Linked DNA regions of Lytechinus pictus. The protein of the gene in region 2 interacts with the protein of the main gene of each other region in a pairwise test. Links are inferred from orthologs where the notes say so. Each region holds a gene or a part of one and is shown on either strand. Other genes may lie near its edges.

Evidence for each region. The genes of interacting proteins can lie anywhere in the genome.
Region 1: the proteins of peroxisomal membrane protein PEX16-like (region 2) and peroxisomal biogenesis factor 3-like interact in binary tests that used the Homo sapiens proteins (3 or more experiments, as listed by UniProt). The link is inferred for Lytechinus pictus from reciprocal best matches to the Homo sapiens genes PEX16 and PEX3.

What each region holds. Positions count from the first base shown.
Region 1 is NC_087261.1:10,885,549-10,893,448, forward strand, and holds the start of peroxisomal biogenesis factor 3-like, read right to left. Parts: upstream 3,111-7,900; 5' UTR 3,028-3,110; coding exon 2,955-3,027; intron 1-2,954. UniProt on the Homo sapiens protein: Involved in peroxisome biosynthesis and integrity. Assembles membrane vesicles before the matrix proteins are translocated. As a docking factor for PEX19, is necessary for the import of peroxisomal membrane proteins in the peroxisomes.
Region 2 is NC_087253.1:15,132,806-15,140,245, reverse strand, and holds the start of peroxisomal membrane protein PEX16-like, read right to left. Parts: upstream 3,107-7,440; 5' UTR 2,974-3,106; coding exon 2,796-2,973; intron 1-2,795. UniProt on the Homo sapiens protein: Required for peroxisome membrane biogenesis. May play a role in early stages of peroxisome assembly. Can recruit other peroxisomal proteins, such as PEX3 and PMP34, to de novo peroxisomes derived from the endoplasmic reticulum (ER).

The sequences.
Region 1 (7,900 bases), on a different chromosome or scaffold from region 2:
AATTGATATTTCAAAAGTTTAATAAATCACTTTTTAATACATGCATTTAATATATTTCTTATATTCATATCATTCATCATTCCAGTTCTTAATTGATATTTCAAAAGTTTAATAAATCACTTTACATGCATCATATTGAGCTGTACACTGAATCTTGCCTCATAAGATCATTTGGCTTCATCTCTACATAATACCCCCCCCCCCCAGCAATAAAAAATGAAAATCTAATAAAACAATAGAGCTGCAGGCAGTAGCGTACCTAGGATTTTTCACAGGGGGGGGGGGCAAAATCGTCCGCCCAAAAATTTGACAAGCAAAAAAGTCTTCAACCACAAATAAAGGATTTCGTACCAGAAAAAAAAATTACAAGCCAAAAAAAAAAAAAGGTCCTCAACAGGTTATTAAGTACATTTCGCACCAGAAAAAAAAAGGTCTTAAACTTCAAAGGAGGGGGCCACCGGTGGCTCATCAGGGGGGGGCAGGGATACGTCCCTTGCATGGGTTGTGACTCGTCGGGGGGGCAGTCTGCCCCCCCCCCATAGGTACGCTAGTGGCTGCAGGTCCACCCACCCATCTGTATCAACCATTACCTCCAATGAGAATACCTAATTTTAAATTTTATTGAGCAACTTCATTAATACTGTTAAAATATCCCAATTTATATTTTTATGTGGAGTTAATTAATGTAACCAATGCCAACAAGGAAAAAAAATAAAATGAATACTTTCATGTGTCAGTGTGGATTTGTCATTTCTTTTTTAAATTTATTTTAACATTCAGATCTGTATGTGTATCCTTTTGAAACACTATGTTCCTTCTCTTCTCTACTGCATGTGCCAAATTGTTTTTTTTTCGCTCATACTTCTTAAATAAATCATGAAAAAATTACATAAAGTCTAAATAAAAATATGTAAACAGACATACAAGAAAAAAGTGTTAGTTTGGGGTGATAGAAAATGTTAGAAGACAGTTGGGGGGGGGGTGAGATAAATCAATTGTTTCTTTCTTGTCAATTTAAAAGCTGCAATTCACATTTGTGAATAATTAAGTAGTTGGTAGAACAATTCCTGCTTAAAGTTGCAGTCTGAATGGAATGCAGGATCGCCAAGAACAAAGCCCAGAGGCAGAGGTGGGGTTGGTTTTTTTAAGGCGGCATTTCCATCACGCTTTCTTGGAACCACAGATATTCGACGGCTCAGCCCAAGTCTGTTCATTGTTGGGCCCCTCGACTTCAGATCAGTAAGTATTGCCATGCTCAAATGGAGATAAGAAATTAATCTGAATGAAAATAAAAATATGAAAACAAAAGAAAATTAAAATGATAATGAATTAAATTAGATCTAGGCCATTCATTTTTAAAATAATAAAAATGTAAAGATTGATTAGGCCAAAAGAAATCATGTTACATGAATTTTCAACAGAATATAATCATCAAATAATAAATCAAGACTAAAGTAAATTACCTAAAGTAAAGGCTAAAATTAGGTTCGAGAAGATTCAGAAAGTTGTTGCGTCATTTGCCATTTTTTTTCAATATTTTATTCAATCAAAATTAATGTGTGTCAGTGTGGGATATATTTCTGATTTCTACATTTGTGTCTGGTTTTCAATTCCTAATTTATAAAAAAGAAAAAGTTTTTTTAAATCAAAGAAATACCAGACATATCACGGTAGACGGTCTGCTACACAAATTCCAATGCGCAGGACTACACACCGCGGGCAACCAAAAACCCTAGCAGCCGCCATAAATGAGCCCGCGAAACGCGTCGCCAAACTTAAAAAAAAATCCCACGAAACAAATAGCAAGGGCGTTTAACATTCGTCCGTGGCAAATGGTGGCAAGAAATGCTGCCATGAATGAGGTAAGAAATGAAAGCTTACGACTTCAATTTTCGAGTAGCATATGTATTTTTAGCGTAATATGTCTGATAATTCCATGAAAATAACATATAATGATGATTTGATGCATAAACTGTACTTACAGACTGTTTTAGTGCAATTTTTGTTCCGATCTCGATCCTCCGTCGCAAGAGCTAACCGTGCAGTATAGCTGAATGCATTGGGAAGATGATGTTATCGTTTTCATTCCCATTGATATACGTTTACTATCCTAGACAGGAGACTCAAGTAGGGCTTGCCGTTATTGCTCGCACCGGCTCCCGAAGCAGCTTGTCGCCATTTTCGTACGCGAAAATGATGACGCGAAAATCGCGCCCTCTCGCGCTAGAGTAGCGTACCTAGCTTTGAAATCAAGATACTGAAGATTGATACGCTTAACATAAATTATGAACGTCTGACAAAAAGATAACCAACCGATCACCTGACCGATCAGCTGACCAGTACGCGTATCACTTCGGAGTTGATCACTCGTTGCAGCTGTGTGGAACGCTCACCGAAAATCAACAAAAAGGGCCTGAAATGTAAGTTTAACAATAATCGATTTTAATTTCAACTATTTTTACAACTAAATAAAGGTTTGCCGTCCGAATGAAAGGTATATCGGATAACTCTAACTTGTATTAAGGTGTACATTTACCAAAGTCTTGGGTTGGAAATCAGAACAGCATTGTCCAACCCATAATTTGGGTAATGTCGCCTATGAGGTCCATACATATATGTTAATGTTTGGACCTCATTGGTACTAGGTCTAGGAGTGGGTAGATTCAAAGCATGGTCCAAACTGCCTTGGTGTTGGGATTAGCTTTAACCCGCTGGATAAGCGTGAAACCACTTATTCAATTGCGTGCATATCACACTAAACTGGTAATATCCATTTGTGTGTGCACACATCGGATGGCATGTTCCACATACGGTACCGTACGCACATTTTGATTTATTGCTGGCAAAGTTGTCCAGACCAGAGTCACTCACACAAAAATAAACGAGTGGGAACGTCATCACAAAAATTCACATATCGAAATTCAGAAAACAAAAAAATAAAAGTTAAAACATACCTCCTGCAAATGCACCAAGCACGAAGAATTTCCTTCTGTGACGCTTTACAAAGTTCCAGATGCTCCCCAACATTGTACTCTAGGCGTGTAAACTCCTAAATTGTTAGAAGAAACAAATTAAGTCGACGTATTAAGGGTCACAAGCTCACATTGTAATCGTGATCGCGTGCGCGTGAGCGAAACGAGAAAATGTAAACAATAAAATAGACTTTGATCATCTCGTCCAAATAAATGCATTCGCTTCGCATCAAGCGAAAATACAAGATCGCTATCTCTCCCTCGGAGACACGGTACAAAAGTTCTCGATGTGAGTTGCCGAAACTTCTTTGGTCGATTTGACTGAGGTTTATTTTCCAGCAATTAAGGACAAAAACTGTCACTGGCTGATTGATTTTCAAACATGTACATTTTGTCTTTTATACAGAAATAATACAAAAAATAATTGTTATAAGCTGTTTTGTCCGTGATACAACGCTGGGTTCTACAGTGCGTATCAAAAAAAAAGTTTACACTTTAAAAAAGCCCGGGGAATTCAAAAATATACAACATGTGGGTAAACTTTTCACATATAATCTTGGGTTTGGGTCTCATCTATCCAATGAAAGTAAAAGTTTTGACAGAATGTTACACTTGAGTGAGCACTGTCCATTTTTGTAAAGCTCGCAGAAATCTGTTTGCGCAGAAATGCTCGTTTTCACGCTGTGTCAAGGGGAAAGGGCGAAATCAAACTTACCCTGCGAAAAATCTCTCATACATTTCCCTTGCTCTTTTAGTCAATTGAAATAAAACGGATACATTCAAGCATTTTGCAACAATTTTGACACCCAAATTGAAATTTCAACATTTAGTAAGCACAACCTTTACCCTTTTTTGTGCGAGCTGGATCTGAGGACATAAAAGTTTATATCAGACATCTCCAGCATTTTTTCACTAAGTTTTTATCATTTAAAGTGGGTTTACATTTCATTTTTCATTTAATACTTGTTTCTCCACACTTTTCCCAAGCTTGACAATGATTAACAAAATTAAAATCAAGCCTAAGCCATTTCATGTAAATCACAGCTCAATGTAAAGCAAATATCATCTCGATGGCCTCGGTGTGTGGGGGAGTGGGGTGGGGCACAATGCACTCCTCGAAGTGTTTTGGGCAAGGAAACAAGTTTAAAAAGGTAAAAGATGTCTTCAAATAAATTTTACTAGCTAAATTCCACGTTTTCTTCATGATTAAGGTCTACTTTTATTTGCACAACTATTTCAAAGTTCTGCGCAAATCATTTTTCACTAAATTTTCAAAAGTAAGTGGTGCTCACTCAAGCGGAAATAATTTTCGACAGTTATATCGTCATTTGCTTAAATGGATCTGTACCAATTTTAAAATGTGGAAAAATCTTCAGGATATTACAAATTTATAATTTTACAGGATTTTTTCAAAGTGTAAACTTTTTTTGATACGCACTGTATATCTCGATGTTTTCCCCTTGCTGTAATGATCATTTTGACCCGACTCTCATTCATTCATTTACCCTTCCTCGATCTCTGTATTCTTCCCACTTCTTCCGATCTTCCTGAATACACAATCCATCACCCCCATGATCAAATTCTCCATTATAATGATCAATCATCTCATTTTTTAAATTTCTCTCTCTCTGTTTATTTATGTATATATTTCTTTTAATAACAACGAAAATGTGTATACGATTGTGATAACGATCCAGGTCCATGACAGTTCATTTTGAGTAAATTAAGAAAACAACATTAGTTTTGTTTATGTCTGAGGATCGTGCTCACTTTTTGTTTTAAATCAATTTTGGACACTTTCGGGAGGAATTCCAGAACATATCATGCAAGCATATTATAGGCTCATAGTATAGCCCCCTATTAATTACCAACGTATCTCAATTTGACCAAGAGATGGACTTAGGCCGTTCTTACATTCTTATACTCAAATAAAATCTCTGACATGATAGTATTACTAACCATTATACTACACGGCATAATTAGGGAAATGGGAAGTTTCCTGGCATAATCAAAGTATTGCCGCATTTGGGGCCAAGTTCGAAATCATTTCAAATTGCGACTGATTCTTATTTTAAGAAAATCACATGTACTATTAATATAAATTTTCACCCCCATGACTCAGCATGGATTGCATTGCAATAAAAACATGCAAGATATTTATTTTATTTTAAAAAGAAATATAAATTAATATCAATTTTGTATTTATGTCTATAGTATTCTTTTGGAATCTTTCCGCTCACCATTAATGTATGATAAGAAATCATTGATGGTCATCATCGTCTTCATCATCATCATCATCATCATCATCATCAATTCACCCACTCAAACATTGAAAAGAATTACATATTGAAAGCCAGGTCAATGAGTTGGTATGAATTTCATTTTTTTTTATGTATTTGTGTTTTTTCCAGCAATAAGCCCATATCTCACTCAAAAGCAGAATATTTTTTTTAAAGAGTAAAGAAAAATAAATCAATGCATATATGAATTTCGTATTCATAAGAAAATATCATTGCAGCTATGAATGATTGAATAAAACAATATGGAAAAATAAACAAAAACTTGTATGGATTTATTTCCATTATTCATAATCTAAGACGGGTATAATATCCCATATAATATTTCATAAGGGTAAGTCCATCGGGTTGGGTCGATTTTTGTGACATCCCAGAACTAAAAAATTCGTGTCTCCTAGGCAAATATCTTCCAATTATTATTTAGGCAAAAAATGGTATCCCACAAACATTTACTAATTACACATCATGATGTGTTGCAACTGCAGACCTGTCAATCTATTGACAAAGACATATGAATGTGACGTCTATGTAAAATTTGTAAAAAGTTGATTGTAACTTAAAGGACAAGTCCACCCCAACAAAAAGTTGATTTGAATAAAAAGAGAAAAATCCAACAAGCATAACACAGAAAATTTCATCAAAATCGGATGTAAAATAAGAAAGTTATGACATTTCAAAATTTCGCTTAATTTTACAAAACAGTTATATTTACATCCTTGTCGGTATGCAAATGAGGAGACTGATGACATCATTCATTCACTATTTCTTTTGTATTTTATTATGTGAAATATGAAATATTCCCATTTTCTCCCTGTTGTCGTGTGAAACAACGGTTAATTCCTCCCTGAACATGTGCAATTAGCATTGTTTAATACTATATGGTTCAATCAAGTTGGTCCTTAATTTGTCAAATCTGTAAAAAATGAAAAATAGTTTATAATTCAAACAATAAAAACAAAAGAAAAAGTGAGTGAGGGACATTATAGACTGTCTCATTTGCATATCACTGAGCTGTTCATATCACTGTTTTGTGAAAAATAAGCGAAATTTTAAAATGTCATAACTTTCTTATTTTACATCCGATTTTGATGAAATTTTCAGCATAATGCTTGTTTGATTTTTCTTTATTTATTCAAATCAACATTTTTCTGGGGTGGACTTGACCTTTAACAACAAATCCAGAAAAGATTTCAAGATCAAACATGAATTACTAATAAGATACCTTCCTCCCCGCCTTTCTCATATTGACACATCGAATCTGAGGCACATGTGAATTGATCTTCACCAGTGGCGTAACAGGCGGGGGGGCAAGTTGCCCCCCCCCCCCCTGGCGGATTTCACCGGGAAAATAAAAGAAAAGCGGGAAAAAGAAAAAAAGAGGGAGAAAGAGAGGGAAAGGGGAAGGAAAGGGAAAAAGAAAGGAGGAAAGGGAAAAGTAAAGGGAAAATTAAAAGAAAACGAAGAAAAAACATTTTTTTAAATGGAAAAGGAAGGAAAGCCGGAAAATGTACCAAAGAAGAACATTTGAGAAAGAACAAATCATTTCGAAATAGGCCTATGTAATGCAATAGCACGGTGGGAACAAATTAAAATATGATAAAATGGCAAACAATAGCGGGAAGCGAAGATAGAATGTAATTAGTCAAAAACTAAAGTGGAAAACAAAGAAAAGGGACACGAACAAAAATAATAACACGACCGGGCTGCCGATGATTGAAATTAAAAAGCGGGAAGAAAAATGGACTGCATACAACATTGCTCTATAAGGTTGCTAAATTATATGCAAATAAGCTACCGGGGCTTTGCCCCAGACCCCACGCAGTAGGGGTTCTTTATTTATAACATTCAAATGGCTCTATAACGCCCCCCCCCCGTACAATCACGTTCAATCGCTGGCATACAGGCGCGAAGGGGGGGGGGGGGGGGGTCTTGGTTCCACACCAAAGAGGAAATAAAAGAAATTATAGGAGACAACGTATAATGAAATGAATGGAAACAATGAAATGTGTTATTTGCTGAATATAATGGAAAAATCTATCACATAATAAGAATTTGATTTCAATAGGCAATTTTTTTTTCCAGCTCGCTTTGCACGCTGGCGACTTTTTACAAATTTTTCCCACATTGCTATGTTTTGCCCCCTCAAAATATGTTGCTTCATTACGCAACTGGGTTGAATAAAAACTATATGCCCGCGATTTGATTGAAATAGCGGCAATCTGCGAGGTTTAAATGGCTTTGATATCAAGAAGTTCCGGGGGCTCCGCCCCGGACCCCAACCGCACAGCACTGCGTATATGGAAGGGTTGGGCCATGGCCCAAAATAGTTCTACAGACAAGAAAAAAAGGAGGAAAGGAAAGCAATGGAAAAGTGTAGGATATGATTTTATTTACTGAATATAATGTCAAAAAATAGCTCAAAGTTAGATTCTCATGAAAAGGTGATTTTTTTTCTCGCTCGCTTCGCTCGGGACTTGTATATAAAGCAGCTTTTTAGCACATGTGCTATACTGCGCCCCTCGTTTTTTTTTACTCTTCACGCTGCTGCAGCAAAGAATCCTGTTCACAGTGGCGTACAGACCACAAAAAAGGAATCTAAAGAAAGAATAGTGAAATATTTTCTGGATATCA
Region 2 (7,440 bases):
TGTACTATATAGTAGGAACGCGCTTTTGCCTGAATGGGTGATCCAAAATGGTGAAATATCCAATAAATCGGCAATATACATGATATAGAGGGGGAGGGGGGTGACTTAGACAGCCCATGAGAGGGCTAGGGTTCAATGTGCCAGTGCTTATTTATATGTAGCTGGTAGAACAAACTCTACTCTTTCCTCTCTAAGTGGTTTCAAATCAATAAAATGGGGTGTACAACAAAGCACAAACGATTTTTGGCCTCAATGTTGGGTCCAAAATTGTGAATTTTCAAATAAATTGGCAATATTAAGCAACCCCCCCCCCCCCCGAGAGGGGTAGGCTTCGATGTGCCACTTTGTATGTAGCTGGTAGAACAAAGCCTATATACTCTTTCCTCTCCAAGTGGTTTCAAAGCAATCAAAGTGACTGTACTGTATAGCAGAAATGCCTGTTTTTGCTTCAATGGGTACTCCAAAAAACAGATATTTTTCCAACAAATAGGCAATATACAACATGATATAGCCAAGGGCAAGGGGGGGGGGTGACTTCGACACCCCCACCCCATGAGAGGGTCAGGCCTTGATGTGCCAACATTTTGTTTTATGTAGCTGATAGAGAAAAGCCTACTCTTAACTCTCCAAGTGGTTAAAAAGCGGAGATAATTGCATTTAAATTTTATTAAACTATACATTATACATATTATACATGTACAGTACATGTTATACGTATTAGTCTATGGAAATGCATACAAAAAGCGACATTTCTGAAATTGAAGTATTCAAGTTTGATACCTTATAAATTTGCTAAGAAGAATGATACAGAGTTGGAATTTCATCCACATGATAATAGTATGTCAATAAAGTTTTCTGGAACATTTCAAGGTAATTCATTCATTTTTCTCAGAATTATGTAAAATCATGTATTTGCTAAATTTTCAATTTTTGGGAAAAAATGACAAAAAATGCAGTTTTCTACTTAAAATCTCAGCCAAATGACCTACTTATCCCCTATAAATAGTACCAAATTGTAGAAAATTTATTTGTCTTTCATATGACACTAATTTTGTGGCAATGGAATATTTATGTCAAAATCTATGTACGAAAATTCAAATGTTCTGAAAATTCGGCGGCCATTTTGAAAAAAGCACCCTCACTGGTTAATTTTCAGGATACAGCCTGGTTACCTCATATATTCATATTCAGCGTAAAAAACTGGTCTAGAAGCACTATATGAAAATTTCTCCTTTTTCTTGTGGCACCTTGCTCAATTATAACCCGGACTAGATGTACCTTTTAGTTGTATTTCTTTTTTTTAATAATTTTTATCTTGAACATCATGACAAAATATATATGGTCAATATGCTCTTTAATTAATTTCCTAATCTCATATATTTTTCATATATTTTGGAGGGGACTAGGACACACAATACAAAAAGGGGAAATCACTGAAAATAACCAGAGGAAGAAAAAAAGAAATTAAGAGAGGGGGAGAGAATGAAAGAAAAAAAATAAGCCCTTGTCTGCGCACACATGCATACACATAACTGCATGATTCTAAAGAAAGAAGATACGCAACCACAAACTTTACACATGCAATAAATAGAAAGATATTGATTAAAAAATCTGACTCAAAATGGTGGAAAAATAATGAATATTGGCATTTCATGTGACAGCCTCAAAATGCAGCCTTTCTCATCAAAATTTATGGGTGCGCAGACATGGGGCACCATGGCATTGTTTTGTTCAATCTGAAAATGACTGGCCGAGGTTTTTCCATATTTTTATGAGATTTTTGGCACACTTACTCATAGAATATAAGGAACTTCTGAAACTGAATTGTTTTGTGGAATTCTTATTAAATCTTAACTTTAATTATAACTTAAGTGCGCAGACATGTTTACTTTAACTTAAGTTTTAGTTTATCTTAATACAGCCTACACTGCACTGGTTTTAAATTATTGATTCTGAGATTGATAAAAACAAGGAAAAGGAGTGAATCATTAGACCAAAAGCTTCAGTCTCTGTATTTTGGTTGTTCCGCTGAACTGCGTTGGCTCACTCACCAATAGTCATGTGAAAGGGGATGATAGTAAAATGTCAGAAATTGCTGAATAAATCCCCAGAAACGATGGTTATTCCTGTCTAGTGAATCATTTGCTTATAATAAAGAATAGGTGCCTTTAATCTATATCCTACCTCGAACGATGTTCGTGCAGGCTCCACTCCACTTCCGCTACACTACGCTCCACCTACCTTCGGTAAGTGGAGCGTAGTGTAGCGGTAGTGAAGTGGAGTGGAGCCTGCACGAACATCGCTCGAGGTACCTTTATCCTAGACCAAAAGCTTCAGTCTCTGTATTTTGGTTGTTCCGCTGAACTGCGTTGGCTCACTCAAGTCAAGGTGAATGGGGATTAGGCCCTATAGTAAAATGTCAGAAATTGTTGAATAAATCCCCAGAAACGACAGTTATTCCTGTCTACCTTTATCCTAGCTAAGTTAGATCCATTTCATTTATTCTAAAAATTGAAACAACAACTTCTACAAAATAGATTTAAAAAATTAGACGGTCCATGATCGATGAAGCATGATGACTGAGAGTGAGAACAGAGAAGTGAGTGGAAAGACAATGATTTTGAATTATTGAAAATGGCCTGTTGTTGGACAATCGACACAGTTCAGGCTGGCTACCATAGCTAAAGTCCACATTTTTTTATATATATATGCAATATAGTGTTAGGAGCTGTGTTGAAATTAAGAAGAAAAATAATACCGTGATTTTTTTTGTTAATAAAGAGAGAATTACTCACCCGTTATGCAGTATGAAAGCACACGAAATGTCTTTTCCACTTGAGAAACAACGTCAGGATTTTCGACGACCCACTTTCGATACCAAGCACATGTTTCTTGGTATCTTAAACACATTTTACCAAGATATTTCATACTGATGCATGCTTGCTCCTGTGTATTCAATGGCGAAGCTGACATTTTTAATCAATAACTCTTTACGAGCAGAGTTTTTCCGAGACATCAACCTAATCAACAGGCAAATTACGCGAAGAAGATTGTAGTCCCGTTGGTTGTAAAATTTGTTGGTTTTATTGCATATTTGGCCGGGGTAGTAAAATCGGATGGTGGGGCGCCATCTCTTGCTCATGCTACTCCTAGTCTCCTACAAACAAACCCAACAAATAATTCTGAGACCAACTTGATTTGGCTTTGTTTATTTGTTTTGTTTGGTTGTTTGTTATTCTACCTCCGTAATGATAGCAATTTTTTTCCAAGATACAAAAGTATGCATTCGGACCATATAGTGACACATAATACCTTTAATTTGATTCTATATGATTCACGCAAAACAATTGCAAACGGATTTTTATTTGAAGCAATAGTGTCTCCAAACGAATTTTCATGGAATGTGATTAAACGATTTATATATTTATTCAAATAAAACATTACAAAATAATGTTTGATTGACTGAATAGGGAACTGGTGACGATGCTGTTGCCGCTAAAGGTCATAATAATCCAATTTTCGTAGCGTACCTTCCACTTTACTCAAGGCGATGATGATGATGAGGAGGAGGAAGAGGAGGAAGAAGAGGAGGAGGAGGAGGATGATGATGATTATGATGATGATGATGAGGAGGAGGAGGAGGAGGAGGAGGATGATGATGATGATGAGGAGGAGGAGGATGATGATGATGAGGAGGAGGAGGAGGAAGAGGAGGAGGAGGAGGAGGATGATGATGAGGAGGAGGAGGAGGAGGAAGAGGAGGAGGAGGAGGAGGATGATGATGAGGAGGAGGAGGAGGAGGAAGAGGAGGAGGAGGATGATGATGATGATGATGATGATGATGATGATGGTGGTGATGGTGGTGGTGGTGGATGATGATGATGATGAGGAGGAGGAAGAGGAGAAGGAGGAGGATGATGATGATGATGGTGGTGGTGGTGGTGGTGGATGATGATGATGATGATGTTTTTTTCACCCATAACAGGGGCATTTATTTTCATACAAAATCAATATCACATACAAAACTCTGAAATACAATTACAAAATAACTGGCAAAATATACATTTCTTACTTTCCCTTTTTCTTTAGATCCTTATCAATGTCTAATTTTTCAATTCCTTCATCATATATATATGATGATAACGATGATAATGGTGGTTGTGGTGGTATCAGAAATGAATCTGTTCGGATACTCTGAAAATACCATCATTCTGTAAATTTGGCTTGGATGGGTAACCAATTATTTTTTTTTCTTCGTTTTTTTTTCTTTACAGGAAGTGAGTATGATACTATTCTGTCATGAACTGTATGGATCTCGGGGGCAATGAGTTACTGAGGAATTATATTAATGTGGCAATTTGAAGCAGGACGGTTGGAGAAACAATGAAATGAATTCTTAAAAATATATATGTTCACATGTTTATAAAAAAATATATATATACGAGTGTACACATTGAGCATAATTATCGACAAAATCATGTAAACATTCAAAATCGGATTTGAAACGGATGTATATAAAATTTACTTAATATTTTTTTGTTCTTGAAGTACGAGTATTAGATTTGTTTTGGGATAGATATGCTGACACGATCACTCGACAGGTCCTCGTTATAAGAAGCCTATGGTTCGGGGCAACGAGAGTCCTTGATAAAACAGAATAGAAGCATGCAGAGCCCTGAGAACGATTTTTTTTTTTGCTGGGGGTGCTGAAGTAAATTTAAATAGCAAAAAAAAAGCCGTTTTGGTGCCAAGAAATTTGACAAGCAAACAAAAATAAATAAAGAAAGGTTTTCACTCCAAAAGGTGCGTAATTTCCCTATATTTTTCAAAATTTACCATACCAGATTTTCTAGGGGTGCTGCCTATGGAGAGTAATACACTGTAAAAACTGTGGTGTTAAAACTGACACCAGTTGGTGTTAATAGAGGACCACACCCTGAGGTGTTAAAATTACACCCTAGAGAATGAACATAACACCAAAGAGTGTAAATGTAACAGCCAAAGGTGTTGTAATAACACCTATGGGTGTAAAACTAACACCACTAATTTAACACCGGTGTAAAACAACTGGTGTGGTCCTCTATGTACACCGGTTAACACCACAGTTTTTGCTGTGTACACGCAGCACCCCCTGGGAAAATCTTGGAGGTGCCTCAGCACCCCCGCTTCCCAGGGCCATGCATAGGAAAGTGTATTCCATACAAATCAATAAATCTATCATTATTTATATATTCTTATATTTCTTTTTATATATGGCTTTTTTTTAGTTTTATATTCTTATTTGATTTTCAAATCTTGCTTTTAATTCACTTATTTTGCGGACGGCCAATTTGTCATCGAGAGACAAACCTGAACAAATTCATTACGCTTGATGTTTTGAATATTTACACTGTCGGTTTTTAGATCCATTCAAAGTTATGAAGAATTTGCATGAAAAAGCGACTAAATCCACTTTTGCTCATTCTTCATAAATCAACATTTCTAATTTCACCCAAATCTATGTTTCCCTTCAGGAAATTACTATACTATGTTTAAGAGTCATCAATATTGGTAACGAAAAAAAAAAAGCTGCAGATGTCTTTTATTTTATATGATTCTTTTATATTTATAATTTTTATGGATTTAGTCCTTTTTGAATGAAAACTAATTTTAATTTGTTGCTATGTCAGGCAAATCTTCTACCTGTAACTAGTATAGAGACCAGTCAACCATTTCCAATCTATAAACTAAGGGTAGGGGAAGAGATAAGTACTATAATGTTCATGTTAAACCTTCTGTACATTTGTTACCCCTCTGCATGGACTTTTCATGCAAAAAGGGATTATATCCAAAATATATACACAAATTCATATCAAATAAAAGACATCTGCAGGATTTTTAAACTATCATTTTTATCATCAACCTATTGCGCATACATTCGTAATTCCGAAGCTTCGTTATTCCGAAGGTTCGGATATTCCGAAGGTTCATTATTCCGAAGGTTCGTATTTCCGAAGGTTCGTAATTCCGAAGGTTCGTTAATCCGAAAACGAAATGAGGTTCGTAATTCCGAAGGTTCGTTAGTCCGAAAACTAATGATTAACGAACCTTATTTCGTTTTCGGACTAACAAACCTTCGGAACAACGAACCTTATTTCGTTTTCGGATTAACGAACCTTCGGAATAACGCCACAAATGTTCGGATTAACGAACCCTTTTACGTTTTCGGATTAACGAACATCGAGGTATAGGCAATTTACGTGTTTCGGAATTACGAACCGTCGGAATAAAGAACCTTCGGAATTATGAACCTTCGGAATTACGAAGTGATATATTGATGGCTCATAAATGTAGGAAGATAACTTCCTGAATTGTAATATAGATTTGGGTGGAAAAAAATGGTTTATGAAGATTCAGCAAAGGTAGATTTAATTCGTTTTGCATAAACAATGTTTCAGATTTAGTCTGTTTTGCGTGGAAAAAGTAAATTTCATGTCCATTCTTAATAAAGTTTTTGAATCTTTTGGGAGTTGCACTTTAGTCAGTTTGATGCACAAGCGGTGAATGTCCGTCTAAACCTTCCAAAAATACCAAATGTTGAAAAATGGATTAAGTCCCTTTTACCTGTTACCTCTTCATAATATGTTTAAGCGCATTTATTGATAAATTACAATGAAAAGTTTTTCAACTGCGAATCCCCTGAAATGTTAAAAAAGGATTACGTGAAATAAATAAGCAGATCTAACAAATTCGGTATTAGAGATTATGTGAATAGGCGTAATTGCGTTGGAAAAAGCCACGCACGTCATATTAAGATAAAAATAATGAATGAACTAAAAATAATTTCTTGCATTAACGAGAGCTGAATACTAAATAGGGGAAAAATATAAAAAAAGGAAAAGGAAAAATTATCAATGTATCTTGGATTAATTGAACGATAGTTGTGTAATTGGAGGTTGGGGATTAGAACATAAATTGAACAGTTTGCAGTAAAAAAAAAAAGGAAAAATAAAATAAAATATGCACATTAGCATAACCATGTAATAAGGTTCCCCGGTTTTTTTCTGCATGTACTTTATTCACATTCGTTCCAAGCCATGGGGGATTTCAACCAATGATTAAAATATCAGTAGTCCATTGACAGATCCAGGGGCCGAAGGGGCTGCACCACCCCCCCCCCCCCCTATGGCGGCGCGAAAATGGAAGAACATGAAATTTGGAAGAAAAAAAAGAAAGAAAGAAAAGGGGAAAGAAAAGAAAAAAATGAGTAGATGAAAAATCAGCGATTAAAAAGGTCTCTTTTAAATCAATATTAAAAATTTCTGCTCACGCTTCGTGTTCAAATTGTTTATGGAGTTACACAGTGCACATTTTTATATTAATAAAGCGCTTAAAATCTTTAGTTTTGAGATTGGAATAAAAACAAAATCGGCTCGAGCTTCGCGCTGGCATTATTTATTT